4 linked regions of the Struthio camelus genome follow. The protein of the gene in region 4 purifies or fractionates together with the protein of the main gene of each other region. This does not show direct contact. Links are inferred from orthologs where the notes say so. Each region holds a gene or a part of one and is shown on either strand. Other genes may lie near its edges.

What was found.
Region 1: the proteins of PES1 (region 4) and RPL7L1 purify together in Homo sapiens (affinity purification with mass spectrometry; 4 studies listed by BioGRID and IntAct, counting the BioPlex papers as one, with this or other methods). This does not show direct contact. The link is inferred for Struthio camelus from reciprocal best matches to the Homo sapiens genes PES1 and RPL7L1.
Region 2: the proteins of PES1 (region 4) and NOC3L purify together in Homo sapiens (affinity purification with mass spectrometry; 3 studies listed by BioGRID and IntAct, counting the BioPlex papers as one, with this or other methods). This does not show direct contact. The link is inferred for Struthio camelus from reciprocal best matches to the Homo sapiens genes PES1 and NOC3L.
Region 3: the proteins of PES1 (region 4) and DDX27 purify together in Homo sapiens (affinity purification with mass spectrometry; 4 studies listed by BioGRID and IntAct, counting the BioPlex papers as one, with this or other methods). This does not show direct contact. The link is inferred for Struthio camelus from reciprocal best matches to the Homo sapiens genes PES1 and DDX27.

Annotation. Positions count from the first base shown.
Region 1 is NC_090945.1:20,334,546-20,341,922, forward strand, and holds the start of RPL7L1 (ribosomal protein uL30-like), read right to left. Parts: upstream 3,005-7,377; 5' UTR 2,906-3,004; coding exon 2,892-2,905; intron 2,772-2,891; coding exon 2,663-2,771; intron 1,877-2,662; coding exon 1,713-1,876; intron 1,531-1,712; coding exon 1,393-1,530; intron 1,130-1,392; coding exon 1,020-1,129; intron 802-1,019; coding exon 593-801; 3' UTR 589-592; intron 287-588; 3' UTR 1-286.
Region 2 is NC_090948.1:19,753,186-19,760,190, forward strand, and holds the start of NOC3L (nucleolar complex protein 3 homolog), read right to left. Parts: upstream 3,005-7,005; 5' UTR 2,898-3,004; coding exon 2,889-2,897; intron 2,667-2,888; exon of another isoform or gene 2,078-2,666; coding exon of another isoform or gene 2,069-2,077; intron 1,076-2,068; coding exon 868-1,075; intron 410-867; coding exon 283-409; intron 1-282. UniProt on the Homo sapiens protein: May be required for adipogenesis.
Region 3 is NC_090959.1:19,662,432-19,669,796, forward strand, and holds the start of DDX27 (probable ATP-dependent RNA helicase DDX27), read right to left. Parts: upstream 3,008-7,365; 5' UTR 2,985-3,007; coding exon 2,652-2,984; intron 2,550-2,651; coding exon 2,490-2,549; intron 2,190-2,489; coding exon 2,033-2,189; intron 1,647-2,032; coding exon 1,600-1,646; intron 1,432-1,599; coding exon 1,345-1,431; intron 1,069-1,344; coding exon 963-1,068; intron 880-962; coding exon 706-879; intron 392-705; coding exon 241-391; intron 97-240; coding exon 1-96. Other genes in the region: ZNFX1 (NFX1-type zinc finger-containing protein 1), read left to right, coding at 3,997-4,051, 4,798-6,876. UniProt on the Homo sapiens protein: Probable ATP-dependent RNA helicase. Component of the nucleolar ribosomal RNA (rRNA) processing machinery that regulates 3' end formation of ribosomal 47S rRNA.
Region 4 is NC_090958.1:4,713,711-4,720,741, reverse strand, and holds the start of PES1 (pescadillo homolog), read right to left. Parts: upstream 3,020-7,031; 5' UTR 2,956-3,019; coding exon 2,932-2,955; intron 2,729-2,931; coding exon 2,649-2,728; intron 1,253-2,648; coding exon 1,099-1,252; intron 652-1,098; coding exon 542-651; intron 1-541. Other genes in the region: TCN2 (transcobalamin-2), read left to right, coding at 6,992-7,031. UniProt on the Homo sapiens protein: Component of the PeBoW complex, which is required for maturation of 28S and 5.8S ribosomal RNAs and formation of the 60S ribosome.

The sequences.
Region 1 (7,377 bases), on a different chromosome or scaffold from region 4:
AAGTTAGGGGCAGGAGGTGGCGGATACAAAACTGTAGTAAAGCATCTAAAAAATGTGTTTTGTTGACACACAGAAATGGGCTTGCTCCAGAAAGTTCAAGTCACCTCTTTGTTGCACCAAATGCACCTTTTCTTCTTCCTCAACATAGGCCACCATAACACACTTTAGTAAAAAGCCAGCAACAGTCAGGAGAGGGTTGTAATATTTCATAGCACAGAGCCAGATGTCCATGAAAACTACATTTGACAAGGAACAGCTCATAAATCCTAAAGTTTTCACAAAGACCCTGCAGAACACGAGACCAAAAAAAAAAAGTTTAACAGTCAATTTAAAACAGCCTCCCTTAAGTCAGGCCTTTAAGAAGTCCAGTAGTATTTGCCAACGCCTGACAGGCCCCACAATCTTCACATTGACAGCCATTCTCATTTCCCTACAAGTACTTAAGTTTCCTCTGCCTTGGACAGTCACTTTTGTACAAGGAAGAATCAAAAACAAAGGAGTCCTTCTCATCTCCGATGGCAGTAGAGCTACTCTTAGGAAACCAGATAAAGGGTAAGATTTAGAAGTTACCCTACAGGTGTTCCTCACCTCATCAGTTCAGCTGACGTATAAGCTGGTTGATTCCTTCACCTCTGCAGCCAGGTTTGCCCATTTCCTTGAGGAAACCCACTTTATTATGTGCAGCATGGCGAGCCACTGACAGATGGAACGGCCACAGAAAGTCTGTGACTTTTTGAAAATATTTCCCAGCTGAGTAGATTTCATGAATAAGATCTTCCAGGCAAATAATACCACAGTCTCCTGCAGGTAAAAAACAATTGTAAAAAAGCCACACACACAAAAGGGATGCTTAATTGTGGTATCTTTCAGCACACCACCCCAGAATCCTCAGTCCTCCACATACATGCCTATCCTGTAACATTTTTCTTCCTCCTCCCTTCCCTCTCGCATCAGATTGCAAACCCTCAATATTCCCCTCTTTCCTTGATTCACTTTATTTTTCTCATCTTCCTCCTCACCTAAATGTTCCTCTATCAACATATTGTCTGTCAGAGGAACCCTCTTCTTGTTAATCTTGGCTTGACCCCGTTTCAGAATGAGCTCTCGTACAGACTTCAGGTTAGGGTACCTGTAAAAAAAAATGAGATTTTGATAATGACAGAGATGAGGCAGCAGGAAGTCCCTCATCTTTTTATCAGAGTGGGAAAGTAACCATTGTATGTTTCGAATGATGACAAGGAACAAGTACAAGTTTTAGATCTTAAGTTGCCAAGGCTAGGACCTTCCCTGGAAAGCCAGGTATGGATTTGATGACATTGTGATACCATAAGGAAAAGTCAAAAAGCTGTATTTACACACTATTTACTATTAAAGCATCAGAACAGCACTCACCCCCATGCCACATAAGGTTCCACAATCCGCAGCATCTTTAGAGATAACGGAGTCAGTTTAACAAACGTTCCACTGAAAATCTTTCTCAACCGAAGCAACTCAATCACTCTTCGTACCTTCAGACTCACTCCCTTAATCCTGAAACAGAAAAAATGTTATCAGTAACTCTCTTTCTCTAGTATAGCAAGAAAACAGCCTCAAATTACCTATAAGAAGACATGTCCACACTGATCACACTTTCTTTACTTAGAAATAGCATGACAGTTACAAATCGCAGTAACAATAAAAGATAACAAAAAAAGATAACAAAAGTTTCTTACTCTACAATTCGTACGACAAAGGCTAGTTTGTGCTCCTGAGGTACAGCCACCTGCCCAGGTCTCTGTTTCATGCGCCTCAGCCGGACTTCGTCTCGGTGTTTGCGCCATGAATCTCGAACAAAAGTCTCAAGACGTTTAAACTGGATTTGTTTCCCTTTCTGGTGCTAAAGATAGAACGGTAAGAAATGAACACCTTTCCCAACATTACCACCTCTGCATCTTATAAGTTTACATCTCAAAGGTCAAATTAAATTCAGAACCTGAACTATGCTCTTCCAGTTTGGAGGCAATAATAAGAAAATAATTTTGAAAATATAAGGCCAAGAGGGACAGAACCGATGGACTATAATCGGATCAAATTCCAAACTTTAAGCAGTTAGCTCTAATGCATAAACCGTGAACCAATAGAAGTTTTCCCCAGAACCCAAGAAATAAGTTAGGATAAAACATAGAGCAAGACCTAGAACATTTGTAGGCACAGGAGAAACAGCCACAGGATTCATTGCACTTTGAATGCTTACGCTCAGCTCAGAAACAAGTATTTGCCATCTTCCTAAATCATACCGCTTTCTGCATGAGGAAAAATTCAATGTGCACAGCAGTTATCCATTAACACTTTAGATACAGAAGCAACTAAATTATCAGGGCATTTTACAACTAAGCTACCTAACGTTATGCATCCTTGATTCAGTTTCACCTCACAAGCCACCCACGCAGAGAGCTTAAGCTTTCAAACCAGGCAGACGCGATCGCGCTGTCAGCATTAGGGTCATTTTTCCCCTCAAAAGCTGGCTACTTCACGTTACCCCTTGTGCTTCCGCTCCCCCCATGGAAATACAGCCCGCAAGCCGCGCTACTCAAGGACACGCACACAAGCCCGCGACAAACAAAAGCAGCAGGTTTTGGCACGCGATGCCCTCGCAGGCCGCTGCCGGCCCCCGCCGCCGTACCTTGCGCTTGCTGAGGAGCGCCTGCTTGGCCTGCGTGGCCTTCAGCGCCTGGTAGGCCTTCCGCTTCTTCAGCAGGTTCTCCGGCACCAGCGGGATCCTCCGCCTCGGCCTGGCCGCACGAGAAGCCCGTTAGACCCCCCGCCACCGCCACCGCCACCGCCGCCACCGCCTCCCCGCACCCCCGGCCGCGGATGGCGCCGGATGCCCCGCGCCGCCCCGCGCCACTCACTCGGCCTCCGCCATCTTGCCGCCGCCAGCTGCTCGCGCCGCGCCGCGCCGCCACTCCCCGGCCCCGCCCCCGGCAACGGCCAAGGCAACGGCCGTCGCCGCCGCGCGGCCGCCGCGGGCAGCGCGTCACGGCCCCGGCCCCGGCCCCGGCGCCGTGCGGCCGGGCAGGAGGCTCGGCGGGGCTGCGGGGCTCCTCCTCAGGCCGAGAATTACCGGGCAGGGTCTCCCTGGGCGTGAGGCGCAGCGTCCTCAGCCCGCAGGTGCCCTCAAAGGGGGATCATCTAGAGACCTTGGGTTCAGAAGTAACTTCTCGGGCAAACCAAACTGACGCTAATCAAACAAGGGTTACAGCCCCACGGGGGGAAATCCCTACCCGGGAGCCAAAAGTTTCTCCAGGGGAAAGCAGAAGTCAAAAGCAACCCGAACAACCTGTTTTCCCCACCTGGGAGGCAGGGCAGGCCGAAGCGCTGCCTCCACGTCCCGAGCGAGCGTGCCAGGGTCTCTGCCCCGTCCGCTCCTGCCCGCGAGCAGCGCCCCGGCTCGCGCGCCCCTCCGCGTGGCAGGAGGCGTCTCCTCTCCCAGCGCGGCGCTCATCCACCTCAGGAGGCCTGGGAGCAGCTCTCACGGAGAGAGCCCTCCTGCCCCAGGAACAGGCTCTTCTGCTCACCCTGACACAGTAACAGGCCCCGGTCACCTGCACGGCTCCCACAGCAGCACCGGGGCCAGGCAGCAGTCCCACAGGGGTCACACCGGCTGTTCTCTCCAGTGACAACCACCGAGCACCAGCGGCCAAGGGCTCTGCCGGCTGGGGACCAGCTCAGGGTGCTCGCGAGGTTGCAAAGAGCCAAGAGAGAACATCACACCTTGGAGGAAACCAGCCTCGTTGGCCAGCCACAGGCTGTCTGTCAGGACAGTCCTGGCTCCAGGGCACTCAGCAGCAGGGTGCCCAGCAGCTCCCGCTTGTAGGAGAGCTCCATGATCTGGGAGCCCCCCTGGATGGCACAGATGACCTTGGTGACACTCTGGGTCAGGGTCAGCATTAGCTGCAAGTCTTGCATCCGGGGAGAGAAAAACACAGTGACACCAATGAGTCACTTTCCGCCTTGGAAGGAAGCAGCTTTCCCAGCTGACTTCCAGAAAGAGATCCCACAGACTCTGGCCTGGAGAGAGCAAGTCTGGCAGGCCTGTAATGGGAAACGTGCGCAGGAAGGACAAGCAGCAAGGCTCACTTGTGTAGGACTGGCTTGGGGAGAGATAGCGAAGCGCAGCACCTTGAAAGCGAAAAGGGAAACAGTGGATGGCAATAAACTGCAGACCACTGACATACAGCAATGGCCCCAAATCACCCAGATACTGCAAGACAGAGATGAACCAGAACTGCTGCGTCCTCCTCATCCTCCATACAGGCAGTGTGCAGTTGCCCTGGAGTACAGTTGGGGGTCAAAGGAATCTCAGAAAAACCCCAGCATGAGCAACCAGTGGGATCTGGAGGGGGCCGCAGCACAAGGAGGTCTCTCCAGGTTTCATCTGGGTACCAGTGTGCTGGTGCCTTCCTTAAAGCAGGGAATGGGGCAGCCCTTTGGGAGGACTGGGAGGACGGTGTGGGGCAGAGCTCCGTCCGGTTTGCTCCCCTGCTGTCCTTATCCATAGAGCACTGAGATCGGGGGGGTAAGGACAGGCCCCCGACCAGCCTGGCAGAGAGCAAGGGGACAGTGTAACCTTACAGCCTCCAATTCAGGATGGACCATTTTGGAGAGACGGGCGAATCCCTTCTCCCAGTTAGCATAGATCAAAACCTCAGAGCAGGAGACTGAAGGTGCCGTATTATAGTTGGCCGGCAAATTTGCGCAGGTTGATGAAAATGAACTCCGAGATCTCCCCCAGGACCTTCAGGCGGCACTGGAGCTCACACAGGACGTCACTGAAGTGAGATTGGGCCAGAGCTACCAGGACATCACTATCAGCCGACCTTACATCATCTGTCACACCGTAAAAACATGAGCAATTAATTCAGCGCTCAGCAGGAGAAAGGCTGAGGCAGTTGGACAGGCTGAACTGGCCAGCAACAACCACCTGACTCCAGCTCTTGCTTTCTACGTTGGTGCTAATAGTGAGATAATACCTATTCTCTTCTGCGAGAGCCCATGCCCTGGGCCGTGAGACTGGCCTTTGGGCCCCGGGCAGACGAGAGCAGCTGGTGGATCGCTTGCTCTTTGTGAGTTGTGGGAGGCTTTTCCCTGCCACAGCCACAGCGTTGGCTCTGCTCCCTCCCTGTGGAGAGAGCAGTGAGTGGGAGCAGAGCAGCTCCCAGGAGGTACCAGGAACAAACTGTCTCAGACTCAGGATCCAACAGGACACTTCTGTGTGACAGGAGCCAGCCTGGCAGTTTCCCATGGCTCTTCCTCAAGGCAGGGAAATAAAAGATAACTTTAACCCAACTGTCCGTCATTTATAACACCTGTCAGTCCACCTCTCTGCACAGCTCCTGGTATCACCACACCAAATCCATGAAAAGGATGAGTCCACAAAGTATTTCTCTTCACTTTCTGCACTGCTGAGTGCAGAAAACATGGCCTTGCGTTGTCCCAGCCCAGTCACAAGATGTGGGCACACACATTGCTTGGCATATGGGAGCTGTTCCCGCTCTGTGCATGGTCTGAAGCAGAGCTACCTACAGTCTTTTCTCTACAGGGAGGTGCTCCACCGGGGGAAGGATCTGCCATGGGGCATCTGCAAACCTCTACCAGGTCATAATGCTAGAGACATCTTTAGAGCCATTCTACATTTTACAAAATCAGGGCTCTGGTCAGGTGTCTCCGGTTACCTTCAAAGAGAAGCAGCTCAGCTGAGCTGCTCTCACAGAATCACAGAATGGTTTAGGTTGGAAGGGACCTCTGGAGATCATCTAGTCCAACCTCCCTACTCATGGAGGGTCCTCTAGAGCGTATTTCCCAGGATCGCGTCCACATAGCTTCTGAATATCTCCAGCGAAGGAGACTCCACCACCTCTCTGGGCAACCTGCGCCAGTGCTCTGTCACCCTCACAGTCAGTAAGTTTTTCCTCATGTTCAGATGGAACTTCCTGTGTTAGCTGTTTGTGCCTGATGCCTCTTGTCCTGTTGCTGGGCACCACGGAGAAGAGACTGGCCTCATCCTCTCGACACCTTCCCTTCAGATACTTGTACACACTGATCAGATCACCTCTCAGTCTTCTCTTCTCCAGGCTAAACAGGCCCAGCTCTCGCAGACTTTTCTCACAGGAGAGATGCTCCAGTCCCCTCATCAACTTGGTAGCCCTCCGCTGGACTCTCTCCAGTAGCTCCATGTCTCTCTTGGACTGGGGAGCCCAGCACTGGACACAGGACTCCAGGTGAGGCCTCCCCAGGGCTGAGGAGAGGGGCAGGATCACCTCCCTCGACCTGCTGGCAACACTCTGCCTCATGCACCCCAGGATCCCATTGGCCTGCTTGGCCACAAGGGCACACTGCTGGCTCATGTTTACCTTGTTCTCCACCAGGACTCCCAGGTCCTTCTCTGCAGAACTGCTTTCCAGCAGGTCAGTCCCCAGCCTGTACTGGTGCCTGGGGTTATTCCTCCCCAGGTACAGGACCCTGTGCTTGCCTATGTTGAACTTCAGGAGGTTCCTCTCCGCCCAGCTCTCCAGCCTGACCAAGGTCCCTCTGAATGGCAGCACAGTCTTCTGGTGTGTCAGCCACTCCCCCCAGTTCAGTATCATCAGCAAACTTGCTGAGGGTGCACTCTGTCCCTTCCTCCAGGTCATTGATGAATGCATTGAACAAGACTGGGCCCAGGACTGACCCCTGGGGGACACCGCTAGCTACAGGCCTCCAACTAGACTCTGCGCCACTGACCACAACCCTCTGAGCTCTGCCATCTAGCCACCTCACCATCCATTCATCCAACCCACACTTCCTGAGCTTACCTACGAGGATGTGATGGGAGACAGTGTCAGAAGCCTTGCTGAAGTCAAGGGAGACAACATCCACTGCTCTCCCCTCCTCTACCCAGCCAGTCATTCCGTCATAGAAGGCTATCAGATTGGTCAAGCATGATTTCCTCCCTTTGGTGAATCCATGCTGACTACTCCTGATCACCTTCTTGTCCTCCAGATGCTTAGCGAGGACCTCCAGGAGGAGCTGTTCCACCACCTTTGCAGGGATGGAGGGGAGGCTGACAGGCCTGTAGTTTCCTGGCTCCTGCTTCTTGCCCTTTCTGAAGGCTGGAGTGACACTGGCTTTCTTCCAGTCCTCAGGCACCTCTCCTGTTCTCCAGGACCTTTCCAAGATGATGGAGAGTGGCCTAGCGATAACATCCGCCAGCTCCCTCAGCACTCGCGGGTGCATCCCATCGGGGCCCATGGATTTGTGGATGTCAGGTTTGCACAAATGATCTCTAACCTGATCCTCCTCCACCAAGGCAGGGTCTTCCTTTCTCCAGACTTCCTCTCTTGTCCCCAGGGTCTGGGA
Region 2 (7,005 bases), on a different chromosome or scaffold from region 4:
GCATTTTTCTGAGTTTGAGGAATGCTACTTCTCTCACAGTTAGGGTTCTCACAGGAGCCAACACTGCGCAGAAAGAGTATCCTGAAGGTCAGACACGGCAGGTGAATGTACCCATAGACATGAACACATTAATACAGATTACCCTGAGAGACTAAAAAAGGGCTAAACTGGAATTCCAAAGAAAACTGACTCAAAGCGACCTCCTGATACACGTTATTACGTTACATATTAGCCACACACAGCTGAATTACTATGAAAAGTAGACATCGTAACAACACTCACTTAGAAGAAAGATCTCTGGTTAAAAATGATGCTTTCTGAGCCAAATCTTCCATTAATTTCAAGTCATCCTCATCCATCATGTCCAGTGGAAGAGCATCTTCCTCCTCTTCTTTGTCCTGTTTTTCAGCTATTTTAGAAGACAACAAATACAGATTAATATTCTGTACATATATTTAAACTGCCTACTTCTGTCAGGTAATTTTAGACCTCACTTCAACCTTGATCTCATCAATCTTCACAAACATTGGGCCAAAAAATCTTATCCCAGAAAACTGCCCTTTTATTGATCCCAGAAAACTGCCCCTTTATTGAAACACACAATGCTGATTATAGCAAACCTGGTTCTACCATCTCTGTCAGATCTTTTGTTGCCAAAAAGGCTGTTTTGTGTTTTTCATAACTTTCTTTCTTTCTTTTAACAAGAAGAGCAATTATTTATGCACGCGAAATTAAATTTTGATTTTCTGAAACAATTTTACAACATAAAGAGCAGGATACTAGTAAACCTCACACCTTTGCCTTCCTCTACAAAGAAAAAGCCTGAGATGTTAATAAATTCACTGCTCATAACAAAAAAGCACTTACCAACATGTTTTTTCTTGTATTCCTCCAATGGAACAGGTTTTCTACAGACAGCATCTCTGACAGCCTGCCTTAGCTTCTTTTGTTCTTTTCGATACTTCTTAGCAGCACTCTGCTGCTTATATTGCTTGTTCTTTAGTTTGTTGTCGAGTTTTATTTTACTAGTTCTCAATAACTTGCGAAAGCTTGGAACTCGTTTTGTGTTTTTTCTCTATGAAACAAACAGAAAACTACAAGTAACTGACTTGTTTGTAGCCCTTGTAAAATTTAATTTCACTATTTCATGTCTCACTAAGCACATATTTCCATCAGTGCTGAACAACTTGTTCCTTCCAAATGGTATCATCAGCTCAGCAAGTTTACCCAACTATGTTAAATGAATGAGAAGACAGACATTTCTCTTTTTTACAGAAACATTCTTTAACAATTCTTTTATTAAGCATAATACTCATCCACTTTCAGACACAGAAAAAATATGGATATTCAAAGTGTGGCATACAAATAGCCAAGATTCAGTTCTTTGGCTTGCGCACTCCCAAGCACTCCATCTCCTTTCTTCATGACGCTGTTCTTCCCTAGCCCACAGTAAGTAAGGTTAGGGACTCTGGTACAAGGCTACAGCCTCAGGCAAATGTCCTGATGCAGCACCCTCCTGTCCCAAGCTCTCCACGACAGCTATGACATGTGGAAGAGCCCAGGCTGCCCTCAGCAAGGCTCAGAACTGTGTGATGGAGAAGCTGTGAATGGGCTGCGGGTGCCAAGGATCATGGAGCCACAGCGGTCAGGAGGAGGAGAGGAAGGAGAAAGCCTGGATGCACAGATCAGTATGGGCACAATGGGCCAAAAAATGCAAAACACTCCAAGAAGCATTCAGGATCCTGAAAACGGACACGGTTTACATAATGAGCAGCGTGGGAAGGTAGGAACTGGAGTTAAAAAAAAAAAGAGTGATTTTAGAGTTTTGGTGAGGAAAGATGTGTCTCCTTGGTAAAGAGATAGGTGACCGAACCAGTGTGGAGCTCTTAGGTCTGGAATTTCTGTCGGTTCACCTTCAGTTTCCCCTTTTAGGTTTGGCTGTTGGGAAAGAGTTGAAGAAATAAAAGCAATCCATATCCATACCCTAGATATCAACAGGCTACTCTAAGCCTGAATGGACCCATAAGCCATTATTTTTATTGTGATCTCCTTCTCGTGAAGGACTTACCGTGTTCATCTTAAGACCCAGCAATCCCACACATCAGTGACAACAGCACTGACTTGCTTTTAAGGTTTTGTGAAGGCTGATGATACGAAAATGCCAAAAGGGTCAGCTCTTGATTCTAAAAGACCTCTGAAAATACTGCTAGTCAAATCCTCATCCTCTTCACAAGGGCTTTCTAAAGCTGACCCTTGTCTCTACACTAACCACATAAAACTAAGTGAGAATAGTTACAATTACCATCTACCTAAAAGTCCCTTTCGAGTTTGCTTTTCCTCTCCAGATACCACCTCACAACTCAAGTGCGTTTGAGCAAGAAACGCTGCAGGTTATCCTACTCTGCTAAAACTCTTATGCTATACCCCTCGTCTTAATGAACGACTCGACCGACATTTGCCACGCACGATCCGTTTCTCTCATATTGTAGTTCTGACAAAACCACCTCTCACAAGCGAAAGACAAGCCTTTGCTAAAAAAAGGAAATCTGCAGCAGAATGAGCACAGCTGCTGCCTACCCTCCGTACTCGCACGGTATTTTATCACCTGCCCTGCAACACCAAGAACTTTCCCACGCCTCACAGCCTCACGCCACACCTGCTCCGCCGCAGGGATGCGGAGCCAGCGCAGGAGGGCAGCCCCTCCACCGAGCAGCCCGCAGCCCGGCCGCGGCCACGTCCGCCCGGGCCGGGCCCGCCCCGCAGCCTCACACGGAGCCGCGGGGGGGGGTCCGGGAAACCGCCGCGCCGCGCCGCCCAGCCCCGGCGCGGGGCGGGTGGCCCCGCAGCGCCCCCGATCCCGGCAGCCACCCCCAACCCCCGCCTCCTACCGGCTTCATGGCGGCCGCCGCCCCGAGCGCGTGCTACGCCGGGCCCGGGCAACGGAAGCGGCGCGCGCGGCGGGACCCGCCCCTTGACGGCGGCGGCCGCGCCCACAGCGGCCCCTGGCGGCGGAGGCCGGGCGCGGCGCGAGGCCGTTGGGGGGTGCGCGGCCGTTGGGGGGGCCTCAGCGCTACAGCTTTAACGTCTGTCTCACCGTAGCCCGAGGCGGGGGGGGGGGGGGGGGGGAAGAAGGGCGTTAGTACCTACTACCACCGCGTTCGCAGTTAAGGCAATCTCCTCATCCCAAGCATTCCCCCTCTTCCCCCCCGCAACAAAATAACACGTTCAGCCATCAAGTTGGTTAGGGCAGCAGTGCTGAATGCAACGCTGCTACGTCCTTAACCGTTCTTTTTTTTTTTTTTAAAAAAAAGAGAAAAAAAACCACACACCAACCTTCTCCTACTGTATATTCATATATTACTTGGCAAGTGTTGTTATTTTTTTCTTTTGGGCAAACAACAGCCTTGAAAAGAACAACACAATATTTCTGCTATAAGTTTTATTTACACAGGAATTGTTACTAGTGGTCTTAAAGGAAGGCTTGATCCTTCTATTTACAGTTATATACAGAGATTTATACTTGAAAAGTAAGAAAACTGTACAAGTTAACACAAAAATATAAGACAAATTGAATCCAATTAAAGTAGTGAATACATAAGTTAAGAAAAATTTGACATTTAAGTTTCAAATTGTAATGTTATGAGTAATATATATGTAGTTTTGAACCAGATAGCAACGTAAGTTACACCACACTAATTAAATCTTTACCCCAAGTTACATAGACTCTGCTTTTAAACACCAGACAGCTGAAAACCTCCTGCACTTAAAAATATGCAATGATAATTCTGACTTGATTTCCACAGAGGGTCCAGTTACAAAAACCCACATGTAAGGAACCTATTTACATTAAATATTAGCAAAAATGGACCAAGAGAGTGCAAGTGTTCCTCACCTGCAGTGCTATCCATTTTAAATTCCCAACCTCCACAATCGAGAGTTGTACGGTGGATCTTTGAGAACAGGAAATGTTGAAAACATCTGCTGTGACATGTACTGTATGACATTATTTTCTCACCGTTAAAAGTTGCTAAAAGAATTAAGTATCATTAAACCATATGCTTTTTGCATTTCAGTATTGCACACTAATAAAATATAGTTTAAAAAAACTGCACTATTCTGAAGTGTTAAAGGTGGATGCTCCCTTGACAATACAAAGTCTGTAGATAGCTTTATCAATTTCTAGTGTTTACCATTACATACAAGCGTATCTTAGTTGGGAATGGCTTAATGAAATAAAACTTCTGGTGGCAAAACCCATTCACAGAATACCCACACCATTTTTAATAAGCTGCACAACTAATACACCAAAACAAAGGCTCAGCGCCATTCATTTTGAAAGCTGTACACACTGAGAACAGTCCTGATCTTATCGCTTTTTAAATTTCAAAAAAAATTTTTCTGTTGTAACAGGTTTGGACACAATACTTCCACACTTCGAGTTAATTATATTTGCCCAGACTGAAGCTGTAACTGAAAAGCAAGTAAATAACAATACCCCTTCCCAAATCTTACCCACCTGGCATACGCATACCAAACAACCTTATTTGGTCCTCAATACTTTTAAATAGTTAATTTTGGAGGTAATATTTGTACCCAAAGCATTTGGTCTGGATAGCAGTTTTGGGGCCTTAAGATTTAGCATTTTCCTCACCCCTCTCAAAAAGTGCCTTTGTGGTATTTGTAAAAAGTTATGCCTCAAAAAATTTTTAAAGTACCAACAGAAGTTATTACAAATGTTTATTGCATTGAGCTGACTCTTTTAAAATATTAAATATGAACTCCTCGTTTCTCAGTTTCATAGGTTTTAGTATGCTGTGTGAAAACAAATCTTTCCACAAAGAGCTAATACTGGCAAAAGGCTGAAGATTTCATCAGTTCATTACTTCAATGAGAGCTAAACTGTCTCTCTCATTTCTTGCACCATTTTCTACAGTGGCTTCCCACACAGATTTGATGCAAAAACTCCTTTTTCAAGTGGTTTCCCACATTTTCAATTGACCTCTACATTATGACGACTGGCTTTTCAGTGCTGGGCTATGGTTCTTGTCCCCTTCTTTGTTGTCCTTCATTAGTGAGGCAAACACCTGAAAATGTAAATTATTTAATGAATATAAACAGATTAGTCTTATAAAAACAGATCGAGATTAACAGTCACAGTACCAGCACAGAGACTACATTCAGAAATAGGACACTAGAGAGGAAGAGTCAATTAACACCCTTATCAGTCCCAGTCACAGAAGTTTTCCTCCATCTTAGGAAACATTCCAATGCAGAACTGATCTCAGGCTATTTTGCCCTTTTAACTTGATGAGGGTTTCATCTGCAACAATTCTGGTCCTTTGTTATACAGGTATTTTCCCATCAGCATTAGATTAATTCCAATACGGGGGACAGAGGTGGGAAAATTATGTCGACAGCCACAACATAAGATTGTATGAACAGAAGTTTTGTTCAAATGGGTCTACGCAACCTTAGGCTCTGCATTTTGGTCAGTCTCAGGTAGACTTCTGTTTAAAGTGTTCATCTTTCTCTTCCTCTTGCCTGGCATGTAAGTCTGCACTAGAAACTAGGGATTCTTCAGTAACTGTTTTATCGCTTCCCACATAAGCAAGTTTCAGTGCTGAATTTGTCTTCCAAAAGAAGGAGGGGAAGGAGTAATCACCAACAAAATCTGAGCTTCTCTTCAAATTCAAGATGCATCTCATGTCAGAGGTGAGGCCTCAACTACAGTATTAACCCTCACTCTGAAGTCAGACGCGCAGCATAAAGTAGTCATTAAGGGAAGTGCCCCCCGTAGTGTTCTGAGATTTATAACCGAAAACTCACCTGTGCCCATTTCTTGTTACTATTCTGCATCTGAATAGCTGCAATACAGCTAAAAAGCTTTTCTGATGTAATGTCTTCTGGAAGTTTTGTTAGAAACTGGGCTATATGAATGAAGTCCATCTGTAGGAGAATATCTTCATATAATCGAAGGATTCCTAATCCCGTCCTGAACAAAAATTCTTCCCCATCTCTGCAGAAGACATCCCAGACACGACAGGCCAGATCAAGTGGTAGTGACTTGCTGTAGAGTGTAAAAATCCTACATTAAGGGGGAAAAAAAAAAAGAACAGGTATAATTTTAATGTATTTCAGAAACATGAAAATACCACCTCCTTTAAATCTAAATTGGATTAGCTGAGAGCAAGCAGATGACAAGTTCTCTCTCAAGTGTTTGTATTTTTTTTTTATTTCGAAGATATACAAGTCCCCAGCTCTTCACATCAGAGTTCTGCTGAAACTTTTCACGCTACAGGAAATTCTCCATTTGAAATCAACCTCCTCTAGGAAGCTCTAGCTAGAAAAGTTACAAGGATCTTTGTGCTCAAATAGGGCACAATATACATAGGGCACAATATACAAGGGCTTATACAATAAAGATCAAAAATGTGATACTTAAACCCCCTTTTTTTTTTTTAAGCCATGTAGTTTATGAACAGCTCTATTCATCATTTGGTTTTTAAACTAAGCCTGAAGTTTCAAATCTTCCCTGTAGAAGGCTGGAGTGGTAGGCTACAGCCCACAAACATAGTAATGAGAATCTGGCAACTACATTTCCATAATACATTTCAAGTTTACATCCAAGTTAAAAATCACCAAAATCTAAAGACAGGCACTCTTTCTACTCTCTGTTCTATATAGGACTTGTTTTTTAAATTATGAAGCTTATTTTTAAAAGCATTCATTAGATGTGCTGTATGCACCATACCGCATAAACCCTTCCATAAATTTGTAGCAGTTCCACTGATGCAAGGCATAGCATTCCATTTCCCCCATTATTCACACTAGAAAGCAGTTCTAGAACCTCAGAAGACTCCTAACCACTGAGACTACTACAATCCTCCTGCATTCTCTTCATAAAGAGAGCTCTTTATCTCAACACCATTATTGGAACAGGTGCAGGAATGTCATAATCTTAATTTACTGCTGATAATCAGAACATTCTATTGCTTTACACAAGAG
Region 3 (7,365 bases), on a different chromosome or scaffold from region 4:
TCTGTCATTGTGGCAGAGAAGAGCATTGTCTGACGGTGTTTGGAGCACAACCTGATTATTTCCTTCATCTGCTCCTCAAAGTACTCATCCAGCATCCTACACAAGAGAAATATAGCAAAGCAGCTTGAATGGTTCTAGCCAAGGCCCATTACTTAGGGCAATAACCACTGCCCTATACCCTGGGGAAAGGAAAACGGGAAGCCACCATTTCCTTTTTCATTACTGTTCTGCCCAGCTTACCTATCTGCTTCATCCAAAATCAGCACTTCAATACTGCTCAGGTGGAAAGAGGGGCAGTTGTGCAAATGATCAATCAGCCGCCCAGGAGTGGCGATAAGAATGTCTGGCCCAGAGCGTAGAGCTGCTTCCTGAGTCTTCACATCTAGGCCACCTGAAAGAGAGTGAACATGGACCACTGACTCCCTGAGCAGGATTTAAGAGTACACAAACCCAAATACTCTGAAGACTGGGAAACAATTATGATTAATACCATGTTCACAATTAGAAATGACCACCTTTCTTTTATCAGAAAAAAAAAAAACAGAATTGCACGCTATTGGAAAGTGAGAACTTAAACTATAGCACACCTACTCAAAGCATGCCTGCAATAACCATACAGCCTCCAGTTTTAAAGCACAGGATTCCAAGTGCTGTACAGAAGCTTGCAGTGAGATGTATGGTTTACTTAAGCAACTTAATGCTCACCTACAGCAAGGCAAGTTGTGATGTTGCTAAACTGTGCCAACTGCTTTGTAACAGAGTGCACCTGAATACCCAGTTCTCGAGTTGGCACCAGAACCAATACCCGCGTTATTGGAGCCTGACGAGGTTTATAAATCAGGCGCTCAAGTACAGGCAGGACGAAGGCAGCTGTTTTACCTACAGAAGAAAATGAAGAAGAATTACTAAGCTATTGTGGATAGTTAATTCTCCATATTTCCTACCGCCTGCTCAATTCCTACCTGTCCCAGTGGCAGCACAGGCACAAATATCCTTCCCCAAAAGGCCCACTGGGATACAAGCCTTCTGAATCGGGGTTGGTTGCTTGAAGCCAAGAGCTGTGATTGCCTACACAGGAGATAGAGCAGTTAAACACTTTACATAAAAAAGATAAGCGTCACTCAAGATAGCACTGACATATATTGCAAATCAAAGAATGGTTTCTATGACTCTGAAATAACTCTTTAGCTCTTAAAAGGCTAACTGTCATACCATCCTCTACCTCACATTTCCTGTTCAGAGAGGCTGCAAAGAGAGGAAGAATTTGACAGTTTTGATTGGTGGAGGGGAAGCTGTACATTTTCTACAATAGAAAGCTACATAGTAAGCAAAACAGCTAAATACCTTTAGTAAAGGCCGTGAAAGATTCATGTCCTGGAATGACAAGTTATCGTCATATTGAGAGGCATCTTCAAAAAAGCTCTCTGCTTCCTAGAAACAGGAACAACAACAAAACTGGAACAACGTAGGCAACAACAAAACACATCACCAAAAGCTTCTGGGGCGTTCTGTGACCTACGGTTTGCTAACCAAAGCGAAATTACTTAAGATAAATCACTAGAGAACAAACAATCTTGTGTCATTCTGTCCAACACTTACTGCTTCTCCCTTTTTCCATCTCTTCCGTTCCTTCACTTTGAGAGTATCTGCAGAGAAAGAGAAAAGTGATGGAAATTAATCAGCACAGCTAAACACTTAACAAGATGCGGTGCCTGTTCTCTTCTTGTACTTTTTGTTCTTAATGTGTCATTGATGGAAAAGCCTCAGAAACTAACATCAGACATGCAACAGGGTAAAACGCCAAGCACACATCTTCCCTTAGGGCCAACTCCACATAAAAGTACTATGGCTACAATTCAGAATAAGCTTGATCAAGACCAGAAGTAGCATCACATAGGTCTGTGGATAAGACAACACAAATTAATAGATTCTTGCTTGCTCCCTCCCAAAGTCTCACTAGAGACTTCTCTCCACTGAGCCAACAGTCTGTCAGATCCTTGCTCCTGACCACCTCTCTGTGTACTGCTAATACCTGCTTTAGTGAAGATACTTTCATCATCTAACGAGTTCTGGGACTCCACATCCTCTTCTTTCTCTCTATTGAAATCCCCGCTCTCTCCTTCTTTGATTTGATTATCCTCAGTCTTTGTATCTTCCTCTTTCACTTTTGTTTGTTTAGCTTCTTTTTCCTAGGAAAAGATATGAAACGAATGGTTTAAGAAGAATAACAAAGAAACTTCAACCCTTTATGAGTTTTTTTTTTTAATTAAGAGCCCATTCAGAAATGCATGAGTTTGTAAAACCTCAAGCATAAAAAATTCTGCATTTTCAGCAGGAACCCATCAGGTATGCCTGCAAAAACAGCCAAGGTGCCGAGCTGTGGCTTGGGCACCGAGACTCAGGATGTTTTCAGAGCCTGTGCCTCTGACGGGGGAAGCTATGGAAAGCCAAACCTGTACCGCTCTAGGCACTAGGAGAACATCCCTGACCTGGATCCTCCTTTTCTGTCTCACTTTCTCAATCTTCTCGTCCAGTGTTGTGGCTGCTCTCTAAGCAGGAAATCAGGAGAGAGGCGCCGTAAGAGAAGCCCGGCAGAGCGCGGGGCACAGCGGCCCCGCTCCCGGCCCCCGCTCCCGGCCCCCACACCTCACCTTGCCGCGGAGCTGGCGCAGCGCCGCCGCCCAGGCGCCCTCTCCGCCCGCCTCCGCCTCCCCGAAGACGAACGCGGCGCTGAAGTCCCCGCGCGGGGGGGCCCGCAGCCCGACCCGGCCCGGCTCCTGCAGCGACACCCCGTGAGCAGCCACCGCCGGCCGGGCCGGCCGCACGGAAACGAACAGGCCGGCCCGGCCCCACGCAACCCAGCCCGCCCGGCCCCGCTCCCGGCCCGGCCGCACCTGCTCATCCTCAGAGTCCCCGGACTCGGGGTCCTCGGGCGCGGCGTCCCCCTCCGCGATGGTCCCCACCAGGCCCAGGCGCTGCAGCATGGCCGCCGCCCCCCGGAAGTCGCGTCCCGGAAGTCGCGCGCCAGCACATGGGCGCAGGGGCATCGGCGCGTGCGCAGAGCCGCCCGGGCCGGAGGATGGTGGGCGGGGCGATGGGGGCCACGCCCCTCCCCGCCCCCGGGCGGAAAGGAAACCGAAAGTGGCGGGGGCGCTCGGGCCGCCGGCAGCGGCGCTGGAGGGAACCGACCGACCGGAAGGAAGAGAGGCCGGTACCGGGGATGTAGCCTGCGGGGTCTGGGGGCGCGGGAAGGGGACGGTGCTGGGGAGGGTCCGCTGCCGGCGGGGCCCGGGGTCCGGAGTGGGGACGGTGCCGGGGGATCGCGGGGAGGGGACGGTGTGGGGGGGGGTCCTGGAGTGGGGACGGGGCCGGGGGGTCCGGGGAGGGGCTGGGGCCGGGGCCGGGGCCGGGGAGACCGTGGGGAAGGGGCGGTGCTGGGGGGGGCCGGGGAGAGGACTGTGCTGGGGAGGAGGCGCTGCCGGCGGGGCCCGGGGTCCCGAGTGGGGACGGTGCTGGTGGACCGCGGGGAGGGGACGGTGCGGGGGGGGGGGGTCCTGGGCTGGGGCCGGGGGAGGTCCCGGGGAGGGGATGGGGCTGGGGCTGGGGCCGGGGGGACCGCGGGGAGGGGACGGTGCCGGGGGGGGGTCCTGGGGGGGGAGGAGCCGGGGGGGGCCAGGGGCCGGGGGGACCGCGGGGAGGGGGCGGTGCCGGGGGGGCCGGGGAGGGGGCGGTGCCGGCCGGGGGCGGCGCGGCTGGGCGCGGCCGCGCCGGGAACTGGAAAGCGAAACTTAGGGCCGGGGCGGCGCGGAGTGGTGCTGGCCTGGGGCTCATCCAGCGGCCCCGGCAGCCGCGCAGGGCAGAGGGCTGAGCTCCGAGCACGACGGCGCCGGTTTTCTGCTCGCGGCGCAGGTGCGGTTCAGGCCCGGAGCACGGAGCAGAGCCCTCGCCCTGGACGGCCGCGGGAGCCCGGCGGAGGCAGCACCGGGGCCTCGAGCGATGGACGGCGCCGGGCAGGAGCCTCGCTCCTGGCAGCTCCGAACTGGCGGAAGAGGTGAGAGCTGCGTGGTTAACGCAGGGCAGCAGGTCACAGAACAGCTGGGGGATGATGTGCTACAGTGTGACCCATTCCTTCCTTGCCTGTGCGTGTGCAGTATGATTTCCTCTGAAGTGTAAATTCTTGCATTTCCTTATTTGCCTCCTAGATTCTGATCGGGGCCCTTAAAGTGATGATGCATTGCAACAATCTCTTTGCTAATTTATTCTGCTAATGTTCAGTACGTCTCTGAGTATTCAGTTGAGGGCTTGATAAAGACTGTACAGCATATGCTTTCTGATACTGTGATGGGTCAGGCTTTGTCCAGAAGATCTGTATTTTATCTGTGCTACATAAAGAAAGCCAGAGCCAGCTGCTGCTGTTTTTTTCATTATTTAAATGACAGCTAATTCCAGAGGAAATCCTGTCCTGCATAGGAAAATTCACCTCTGCTCTTTCTTAATTCTGCTTTCTGGCCTGTGGAAAAGGTGTTCTTTTCTTAGTATCTTCATGAATTAACAGTGTACGTGAACTCTAGGCATGGTGCTTTTTTTTTTTTTTTTTTTTAAATGGTCAGAAAAAAGGGTACCAGGGAAACACCAACATAAAGGCCTAGGTGTAAAATATATATATTTTGTTTTTAATATGATGCAAGATGTCCAAAATATGCTGACTGCCAGGCCAAAACACTCAGCTCTTGTATTGGGAGACAAGTTAATATGGTTGATTTGTAATTAAGGAGTACCTCTATCTTTTCTTTGTAGGGCATGCTGATCATCGCTTTACACAAACAGGCAGGAACAGAATAAACAATGGCTCAGGCCAGGCTCACAAGAGAGTAGCTCAGGCTGGGGAAAACCCCCAGGCTGGTAATTACCCTCTTCTACCTGGGCAAAGAGAGGAGAGCTTTGGTGGCACTGGCTGGTTCTTTAATCAGGGACGAAGAAACCAAGGTGGACAGGCCAACAGTGAGTCCACAGGGCACTGGAATGGACAGGAGAATGAGGGAAGGGGAAGGAAGTATCAAGGTGTACAAGTACATGAGCGGGCTGGAGGACCCTGGAATGAGCAAGACGGTGAAGGCAGGGGGAGGAGGTATCAAGGTGGACAAGCACATGAGAGGGCCAGAAGACCCAGGAATGAGCAAGAAAATGAAGGTAGAGGAAGGAGGTATCAGGGTGGGCAAGCACATGAGAGAGCCAGAGGACCCTGGAACGAGCCAAAAAATGAGGACAGGAGAAGGAAGCATCAGAGCGGACAAGCCCACGATGGAGCTAGAGGGCTGAGGAATGGGCAGGAAAATGAAAGTAGAGGAAGGAGGATGCAGCCTGGGGAGAATCCTCGTTTCTACCAGAACCCTACCCCAGGTGGTGCCCAGCTTAGTGAGCAGCCTCAGCAAGCCAAAAGGATTGGCTACAAATTCCTAGAAAGTCTCCTCCAGAAAGACCCTTCTGAAGTTGTCATCACGCTTGCTTCCAGTTTGGGTCTGAAGGAACTTCTTTCACAAACATCTATGAAACCTACTTTCCTTCAGCTCATCTGTCAGGTGCTTCGAAAAGCATGCAGTTCCCGAATGGATCGACAGAGTGTCCAGCAGCTTCTTGGAGTGGTGAAGGAGTCCAACTTTCTCAAGATTTGTCTGCCGCAGTATGTGTCTGACATTATAACTGAGGCAGTCCCTGCTGTACGACATCAGTACCCTGAGCACATTGGCAACATCATCTCACTTCTTCAGGACCTGATCAGTATTTTTCCAGCCAGCTCTGTACAGAAAATCTCCATTCTCTTGACAGTCTTGCCAGCATCCATAAATGTTCTGCGAGCTTCTGGTGTGGATATCACAGAAGAAACGGAGAAGAATCTAAATAAGGTCCAGATGCTTGTGCAGCACCTGCAGGAGAAAAGACGTGAAGGCACACTGAGGGCTGACAACTATACGCTTATGCAGCCTCAGGCTGATGGTCAGGAAGAAACGTACCGTACAATGACCATTTATCCAACATATAATGAGGTGCATCATGATGAGAAACCCTTTTTGCGCCCCAATATTGTTTCTGGAAGATATCAGAGCACTAGCATTTATCTTGATACTCACTTCCGTCTTCTGAGAGAAGACTTTGTAAGGCCTTTAAGGGAAGGTATCCTGGAGCTTTTGCAGAACTTTGAGGACAAAGGTTTGAGAAAGAAAAAATTTGATGACATCAGGATCTACTTTGACACACGTATTATTACCCCCCTCTGCTCCTCGTCTGGTATTGTTTACAAGGTCCAGTTTGACACAAAGCCATTGAAGTTTGTACGATGGCAGAATTCCAAACGGTTGCTGTATGGATCCCTGGTCTGCATGTCTAAAGATCACTTTGAAACATGCCTTTTTGCTACTGTCTCTAATCGCGATAGTGCAGATCTGGCCCAGGGAGTTGTGCAGCTATGTTTTAATGCACAGAGCCAGGCACTGCTGGCAGAGGTTCAGCCCTCAGACTCCTTCCTTATGGTAGAAACAACTGCCTACTTTGAGGCCTATCGGCATGTGTTAGAAGGGTTACAGGAAATCCGGGAAGAAGATATTCCATTCCAGAAGTACATTGTGGAATGTGATGCACGTGTGAAGGAGCCAGCATACCTAACAGTGGGCACTACCTACAACTTTGCACCCTTGATGGAAGACCCTCCAAGAGATGAAGAGATGTACCCTGATGGTTTGAGAAGGCAGAGTGTCAATGTTCTAGATCCCAACCAGTGGCCTTCAATGGAAAGTTTGAGATTAGATGAGTCTCAGATGCAGGCACTGAATCTTGCACTCACCAAGGAGCTGGCTATTATCCAAGGACCTCCTGGGACTGGTGAGAAACATTTGCTTTAGATGTCTATCACTTAGGAAATTCTACCTGACTCCCCCAGTTAGGAAGACTAACTGAGAAAGTCAGCTGCAGTGTCTCCAAAGCTTTATGCCCAATTGATGCCTCAGTAGCCCAGTTAGTGAGAGCTGTGGGGAAAAAGGTTAAAATATCCTCAAATACCCATATGTACCTCTAAGTCAGATATGATCTTACATGTCACTGACCTAGCTGCCAGTAGACCCCGGGCCGGGTTTTGGGGTGGAAAAGTTTTCAACTGTTTTGATTCCATGCTGTCTTTAGCTGAGCAACTGCTCTATTAGTCTTCATAGCATGTTAGAAAATCGGGAGTGTTCAGCTCTGGTGCTCTAGGTGTACAAAGCATTGCAATGGTGACTGCAAGCATGTGTAAACCCTCTCACAATTGTTGTGGGGAAGGTAGATGAATTTTAACTATTCTAAATGGGACCTGAACTCAGCAAGCAACCACTGCTT
Region 4 (7,031 bases):
ATCTAACCCTCAGAGCACAACTATTTTCAGGGCAGTGTCCGTCTCTCAGTGCTGTTTATCTCCTCCTTCTCCACCCCAACACAACCAGGCCCTAGGCACCACTGAGACAACTAACAGGCCTGCCAGAGCAGGTTCCCTCTTCTGTGGGCCCTCTCTTCTCTCATTGCCACAATGCACTTTCCGCCAGCCCTTACTCCAAGGGTGACCTGAGAAAACAGGAGGAGAGCTCTCAGCGCCTTCTTAGAGATCGTGGAGCCTTTTACAACGGCCAGGAACTCTCTGCTCACTAATGCTTTGTTACAGCCAGCATATAGCTCACTGTATCCCTCTCCACTAACTCAGAAACACCAGTTTACCAGTCAAACAATTCCCAGAGCTGCCATGGGAGCTGGAGTCTTAAAGGGGGACGGACAGAGCAAGGGCTCCACAGGCTCCAGTTCAGTTTACTGTTGATAACAGATTCTCACGAAAGAGGATTTTCTCCTGCATCTCCTCCACACTGACGTCCAGGCAGCAGTGCGACCAGCGGGTGGTGGCTCACCTCTCTTTCACAATGTGGTCAAGTTTGTAACTGGGCTTGTTATCCTTCAGCCGCTCCACAGTGCTCCACTCACTTTTGCCATATGCTTTCCGGAGTTTCCGGACAAACACCTGCAGGGCAGAGAGGGGGAAACTCAGGGCTCCCTTCCAGGGAGAGGATGGAGGGAAGCGAAGCCCACCTCACGTGGTACAGAAACGTAGCCCTTGGACATAAGGGCCTCTCTGATGGCTTGCATGGGCTGTTGATGGGTGCAAGGGCAGCTTTCAGATGTAAGGTGCTGCCATGCAGCTTCTTTGGGAAGAGCTGGAAGCAAATTAACTAGCTACCTATCACAGCTAAGCCCCCAAACTTCCCCACTCCACTGCTGCACATGGTTAGTCAGCTCAGCTCCACTGTACCTTGCAGAAATAAGCCAAGCCAGGGCCACAAACACTCATCAGAGCTGGAAACAAGAGACAACAGCCTCGAAGTGAGACGATCTCATCACCCTATCCCAGACTCAGCCACGAGAGGGCCCCATGAACTCAACCCCCAAAGCTCTTGAGCACTGTAAATACCTTATACTCCCGGAACTTGTTGACGATGGGCTCATGAAGGAGGAATTTGATATCTTTGAGGAGATAGAAGGTCCTGGCTGCAGTGGAGCCTTTGTTCACCTTCTTCTTGTGCTTGGGCTCATGGGGGTAAATCCCCTTCAGGATACAGAGGCGCCTGTTAATAGAGATGGAGATGAGACACGCTGTATTTCAACATCCACTCAAAGTGAGAAATGAGAGGCAGAAGAACTTTAAATTTCTCTTATTCCATGTCACCTGCTAGAAGAGTTTAAAGTGATGCGGATGCAAAGTTGGGCTGTCCAAGAAATAAAATGCTCCAGACCCTTTTTATAGCACTAAGGTGACCTGCACTGACACTTTTCCCACCTCATGGGAAAAGAAACAAGTTGAACTCTGCAGTCTGAAACATCAGGACATACAGGACAAATAACTATGCTCCATTTCCTCCCTGCATCCCCACGGTCTCAGTATGACACCACTGCCTTAGTTTTGGTCACATCACCCTGTGAATCCTGAGCACATGCTGCATGGCTCCCCTACTGGCACCTTGCAACAGAGTGTGTGCGTGCGTGTGGATGGTGGTATCCCAAGAAATCTCTGCTGCTGCTTCTGGAAGCAGCCAAGATCCTTCCATATTGCTGAGCACAGCCACCGACCGACACTCAGCCGGGGCACGATTTGTCACCCCACCAAGGCAATCACGTGCCTTAGTCTCTTGGGTAAAGCAATGGTTTCCTCTAATCTTGCTGTGCTCCTCAAAGCATGTTCCCAGGGAGACAAACATCTCTGTCTGTCTGTTCTAGGCAGCTACTGAAGAACACAGCCGAGGTACACAAGCTGCAGCCTGTCTCCACAGACAGTAGCAACGCACCTGAAGAATTCAGTCTGTTTCCTTATCCAGTTCCCAACACCCATGAACGTGTGGGACTGTCAACTCCTTGGTGCCCCACTGCGCTTTGCGACAGCCTAAATATAAACATTACCTTCCTGAACCCTTTCTATGGTGTGTCCTGAGAAGGACTAACGGGACATCTCCAAATTACTTCTGAGTGATAAATATGCTTTTATTAAAGTTTCCAAATCACACCTGGGATCCCGGGTGTGCACAAGTTAAAAGCATGGATTCATCCAGTTCTTTTGAACCACCATTCTCAAGAAGAACTTCAGAAAGGGCTCTCAAGGGTGACCCCAGGTTTAGATTACAAACTTTTATCTTTTCTGAAACACAGCAGGGCTCAAGGCTGCCTAAGGAAACACCTGAGTCCAGAGAACCCGTGAGGCAGCTCCAGCGGAGAACGTGACGCTCAGCTTTACGCACAGAGCCTCAAGGGCCTCATTCGAGCTGACTCCGCTTTCACGGACCGCTGGCCGGCGTCCTAGTCCCGGGGCAGCTCTGAGGCGACGGGCGGGTTGAGCGGCAGGAAGCTCCCTCGCTCGGGCAGAGCAGCGGGTGGGAGAGGAAGCCGCGGGCCGGCCGCAGCTGCCAGGAAGGGGCCGCGGGGGCAGGGGCGAGGCAGCCCCGGAGCTGGCCCGCTGAGCCCCCCGCGTACCTGAAGTCCGGCAGGCTCAGCTGCAGCTTCTTCCGCGCCTTGTTGCGGGTGATGTAGTTGGTGGCAGAGCCGCGCTGGTACTGGGGGGAGAGAAAGGGCGAAGGTCAGCAGCGGCCCGGGCACGGCCCGGCCCCACCGCGGCCGGGGAGCGGCCGCCGACGGACCGCGGGGCCCCGCAGCCCCCGGGGCCGGCGACCGCCCGGCGGCCCGGCCGAGGGGCGGGGGGAGGAGGGGAGCGGGGCCGGCGGGCAGCGGCGCGGCGAAGGGCCCCCGCGGCCGGTACCTTCTTCTTCTCCAGCCCCCCCATGGCGCCGCCGGCGGCTCCGCGGCCGCTGCCCCGCGTGGCTCGGCGCCCCGCCCCGCCCCGCGCCACGCCGTGCCGAGGACCCGCGCCTGCCCCGCCGTGCCTGCTCGGAGCCGCCCCTGCGCCTGCGCCTGCGTCCGCTCCCGCTCCTGCTGGGGCCGGGCAAAGCCGCGTAGAGCCGCGGCGAGCGGCGCGGGAGGCGGCGGCGGGGGCGGCGGCGGGGGGGGCGGCGGCGGGGGGCGCGAGCAGGCGCGCGGCGGGCAGCCCGGATGGACGCAGGCCGGGCGGGAGGGGGCCTGCGGCGCTGGGCCCGCTGGGATATATCGGGGCAGCGCGGCAGGGCACGCTGGGACGTAGGGGGGCACGAGCGGCGCAGGGTGTTGTGGGGGCTCGGCCCGGGACAGGGAGCGGGGCGGTGGCGGGTCCCCGGTTACCCCGCCTGACAGGGGCCGCGGCAGCCGGGTTGTCCTGCGGGCTGGCAGGGCGCCGCGGCGCCCCTCCGGTGCCGGCTCGGGGCTGGGGCCCAGGGGCCTCGCCCGCTCCGGACCGGGCTGTGGGGGGCTTGGCGGTGCTGCGAGCCGTCAGCTCCCTTAGGGGGACTGGAAGAACTGCGGCAGCCGGCGCTTAGGGCCTCGAGCGAGCGTAGGGCCTCGTCCGCCTTCGTGTGCTAACGCTGAAACACGCCGTTTGGCATTAGGTGTGCCTTGTTGGGCTGGTTGTTGTTCTCCTTGTGCTTGCCTTGCAGAAAAGCTGCACCTCCCCAGGCTCTATCAGCGTAGTGAGCTCCTGCTTGAGTTCATCTTAGGGGTAAAGTTTGCCAGAGTTCAGCTATTTAAAGCTCATCCCAGAGCGTGCTTTAGAGACTGGTCTCTCTGTGTAATTTGAAATCTGTTTCTTTCTCCTTGGTGTTTTCCACATTTTAATCTCCCTGTTCTTCATGGAAGCAGCCAACTGCTGTCCCCAGCAGCGATGAGGTGGCTTTGCAGGTACCTGGGCTCATTTCTGGCCTGTTGTGTGAGTATTTCCCACAGGGTGATGGATGCATCTGGAGGAGTTTGGCTGTCCCAACCTGCTGGGACAGTGTCCCGACACATAGTCGGTGCCCTGACTATGTGTGCTCAAGCCCCCAGGCCCAGAGCTGCTGTGCTGTGGCCTCGCTGAGGAGGATTGGGAGAGCTCTGCCAGCTGCTGGGACTTGGCTCCTGGTTGCCCCTTTTGTTCTAAGGGAGGTCCCAGACCCGTTCCTGACCCTAGTGCTGCTTTTACCCCGCTCCCTGTGCTTCTTCCCTCAGCCTCGCAACCTCACTTCCCAGCTTTCCTCCTTATTGCTGAGGAAACAGAGTGGGGTCTGTAACTGTCCAGACCTACTGGAGATTTTTACTAGGTTTTCCATCCTGTGCTGCTCTGATTTAGGTTTTTCTCTCTGTCCACACACGCAGCTATGCCAACACCACAAACAAGTCTGTTCTCACTTCAGCCGGTGTGTTCAGTCCCTGTAGGGTGGACTGTTAAATAAGCAGCTGAAGATGAAAATTAGCCCTTCCCCAGGAAACCAGTCAGAAATAGGCAGCAGAGGAAAAACATCTGTGCCCTGCCTGTGCTACCTCTTCTCCATGATTAATCCTGCGGTGTTTTGTTTTAAACTCCCATCTCCTGGAAACGAGATCCCAGTATAACCTTGGCTCCGCCTCCTTCCCCCTGCCTTTTTGGTTTTAGATGAGTACATAGTCCTCCAGACTAAGAGATGAGGAAGAGGCGGGGGAAAAGACAGAGGGCCTGAGAGGTGAAATGCCACAGGGCAGGCTCTCAGGTGGAATTTGGGGTTCCCTGCTCATATTGCTGCCCCTTTCCTATCATGAAAGTTTGGAAATGCTTCGTCATCTCCCAGATCTCTAGCAGCATGGCTGTAGTCACCCTCCCCACCATTGCTCAGTGCAACGCAGACCTTGCCAGCTCTTCTCTCATCCCAGAGAGACGCTGAGTGCCACGCCACTCCTGCTGCAGTCGGGGATGCTCAGGGTCAGCCCGGGGCTGTGGTGCTGACTGCGGGCAGAGGCTGGCCCTGCTGGCTTCCTGGGCACAGGGAGCAGACCTGAATGTACACTCAGCCTCCAAGCTGAGACACGTCCTGGCTCCCCAGTGCTCAGCTGTGCAGTGTCAATGAGCCCTTATAGGCGTTTCAGGGTTGCAGTCCCCAAGCTGGAGGCAGGTGAGGCACATCTAAGAGGTTTTGAGGCCCTTAGTATCTCATTTGATTCCACAGGTGAGATGTGAGTTCATTGAACGCAATGTGGGGCAACAAATAACGTGAGCTCAGAGCTGATTCGTGGTAGGGTGAATGCCGAGCTCTCTGGAGCTCCTTGTTTTCCCCTGGGTAGTAATTGCACCCTACTGGCACTGTGGCATGCAGTGTCCCCCCTACATGCTTCAGCCAGGCTAAGCTGCCCTTCCTACTTGCTCCACCTGTCCCAAAACACCCTCCCTGCATGCTTCATCTTTCCTGAATTGCCCTTGAATCCATCTGAAATGCCCCTGAAGAAAGCAGCTGACTTTAGCATCTGGAGGAGACGGATATCTGACTGTCAAGAAACACAAGGTCAGAAGCCCTATGACCGATTGGGAGAGTCCCACAAGCTGTTTCTCTCTGCACCCCAAGACCCTTTCTGGGTCCTTCCTCTGGTCCCTGCTGTCTGCAGTGCTCAGGGAAGTGTCCCAGGACCCACATCCATGGGACAACTATCTCTCTCCAGCTGTAGCCATGGGGATTTACCGTTTGCGGTTCAGGCACAATGGCATCTCTGTATTTCTCTGTGACACATCCTCCATCAGGGCAGACAACAGCATGCCCTGCAGACAGGCTGTTTCAGGGCACCAGCTGGCACGTCCTTCGTCTCCATGTCTTGAGCATCTAGAAGGAGTTGCTGGGCTTGGTGCCATGGTGGCTCCACCGCAGCTGGGGACAAAGCCATCCATGTCAGTATGAATTTTTGGCCTGCTGCTTTCTCCCACAGTGGTTGGGACAAACACCCTGAGCCGCCTGGCTGAGGCTCCCTGGAGCTCCCAGTGCCTAGCCAGGGCTGGGGCAGGTTGGCCCGGAGGACGTGGCTCCCTGGCACGACATGGTTGGATGTGGCTGCTGAGCGACAGGGGTTTAAAGTGCCCTGACTATGTGTGCTCAGGCACTGAGGTTGGTGTGGTTCAGCACCCGTTACACCCATTGCTATGCCCGTTACCAGGCTGCTGAGGCAAATGGGCTCCCCTGAGGAGCAGAGAACTACTGCTTTCAAGACAGGAGTGCCTGGGCAATGGTCAGGCAGTACAGGGTGCTCATGCAGGGTGTCCTGGGTTGCCAGGATTTCCCGTGGGTCACAATGAAGTGGGACAGCAGGGCCTCCAGCAGGACAGACCATCACCCTGGCACTTTGCGTAGTGCTCCCCTGTCTGAGTTGTGCAGTTTAACTCTTGTTTTCTTCAATAAAAATCCAATTCCAGACGAGAAGCTGAGTTATTTCCTTTAGAGGCTGCAGGGATGGAGGGCTCAGTATTTTTTTTTTCCCTTTGCTAAAACTGGTGGTGAATTTAACCCTGACGCATGGCAGTTTTGGTCCCCTGGTACCTGTGCCCTGGCCGGGGTGCAGACAGCAGGCGGGCCGTGGACGTGAGCAGGCGCTGGGGCTGTTTGCCCCAGGTCAGTAAGTGCACTGAGAAGTGGCCTGGAAAGGACAGGGCTTATCTGGCAGCGGGAGGAAGCAGGAAGGGAAAGCAGCTGTGACCGCTTTATCTCTGCCCCGGCGCTCTGCAGCTCTGCTCCCGCGTTTCCCTGTTTCGCATCCAGCCAAAGTCCTTTCCCGTTTCTGCTGACTCGGCCCCAGCCTGCGGAAAGCGCCTCTTACGACACCTTCCTGTCCCAGGCGGTGCCTCGGCTCGGCTCGGCACAGCTCGGCCGGGCTCCGCGCGGCACTGCCGGGTCTGCGAGCCGAGCCGCGGCGCCCACCGCCCTGCCCGTCCCCCGCGTCGCCGCTGCTGACCCCGCGCCGGCATGTGGCACCTCCTCGTCCTCCTGCAGGCTGCGGTCCTGC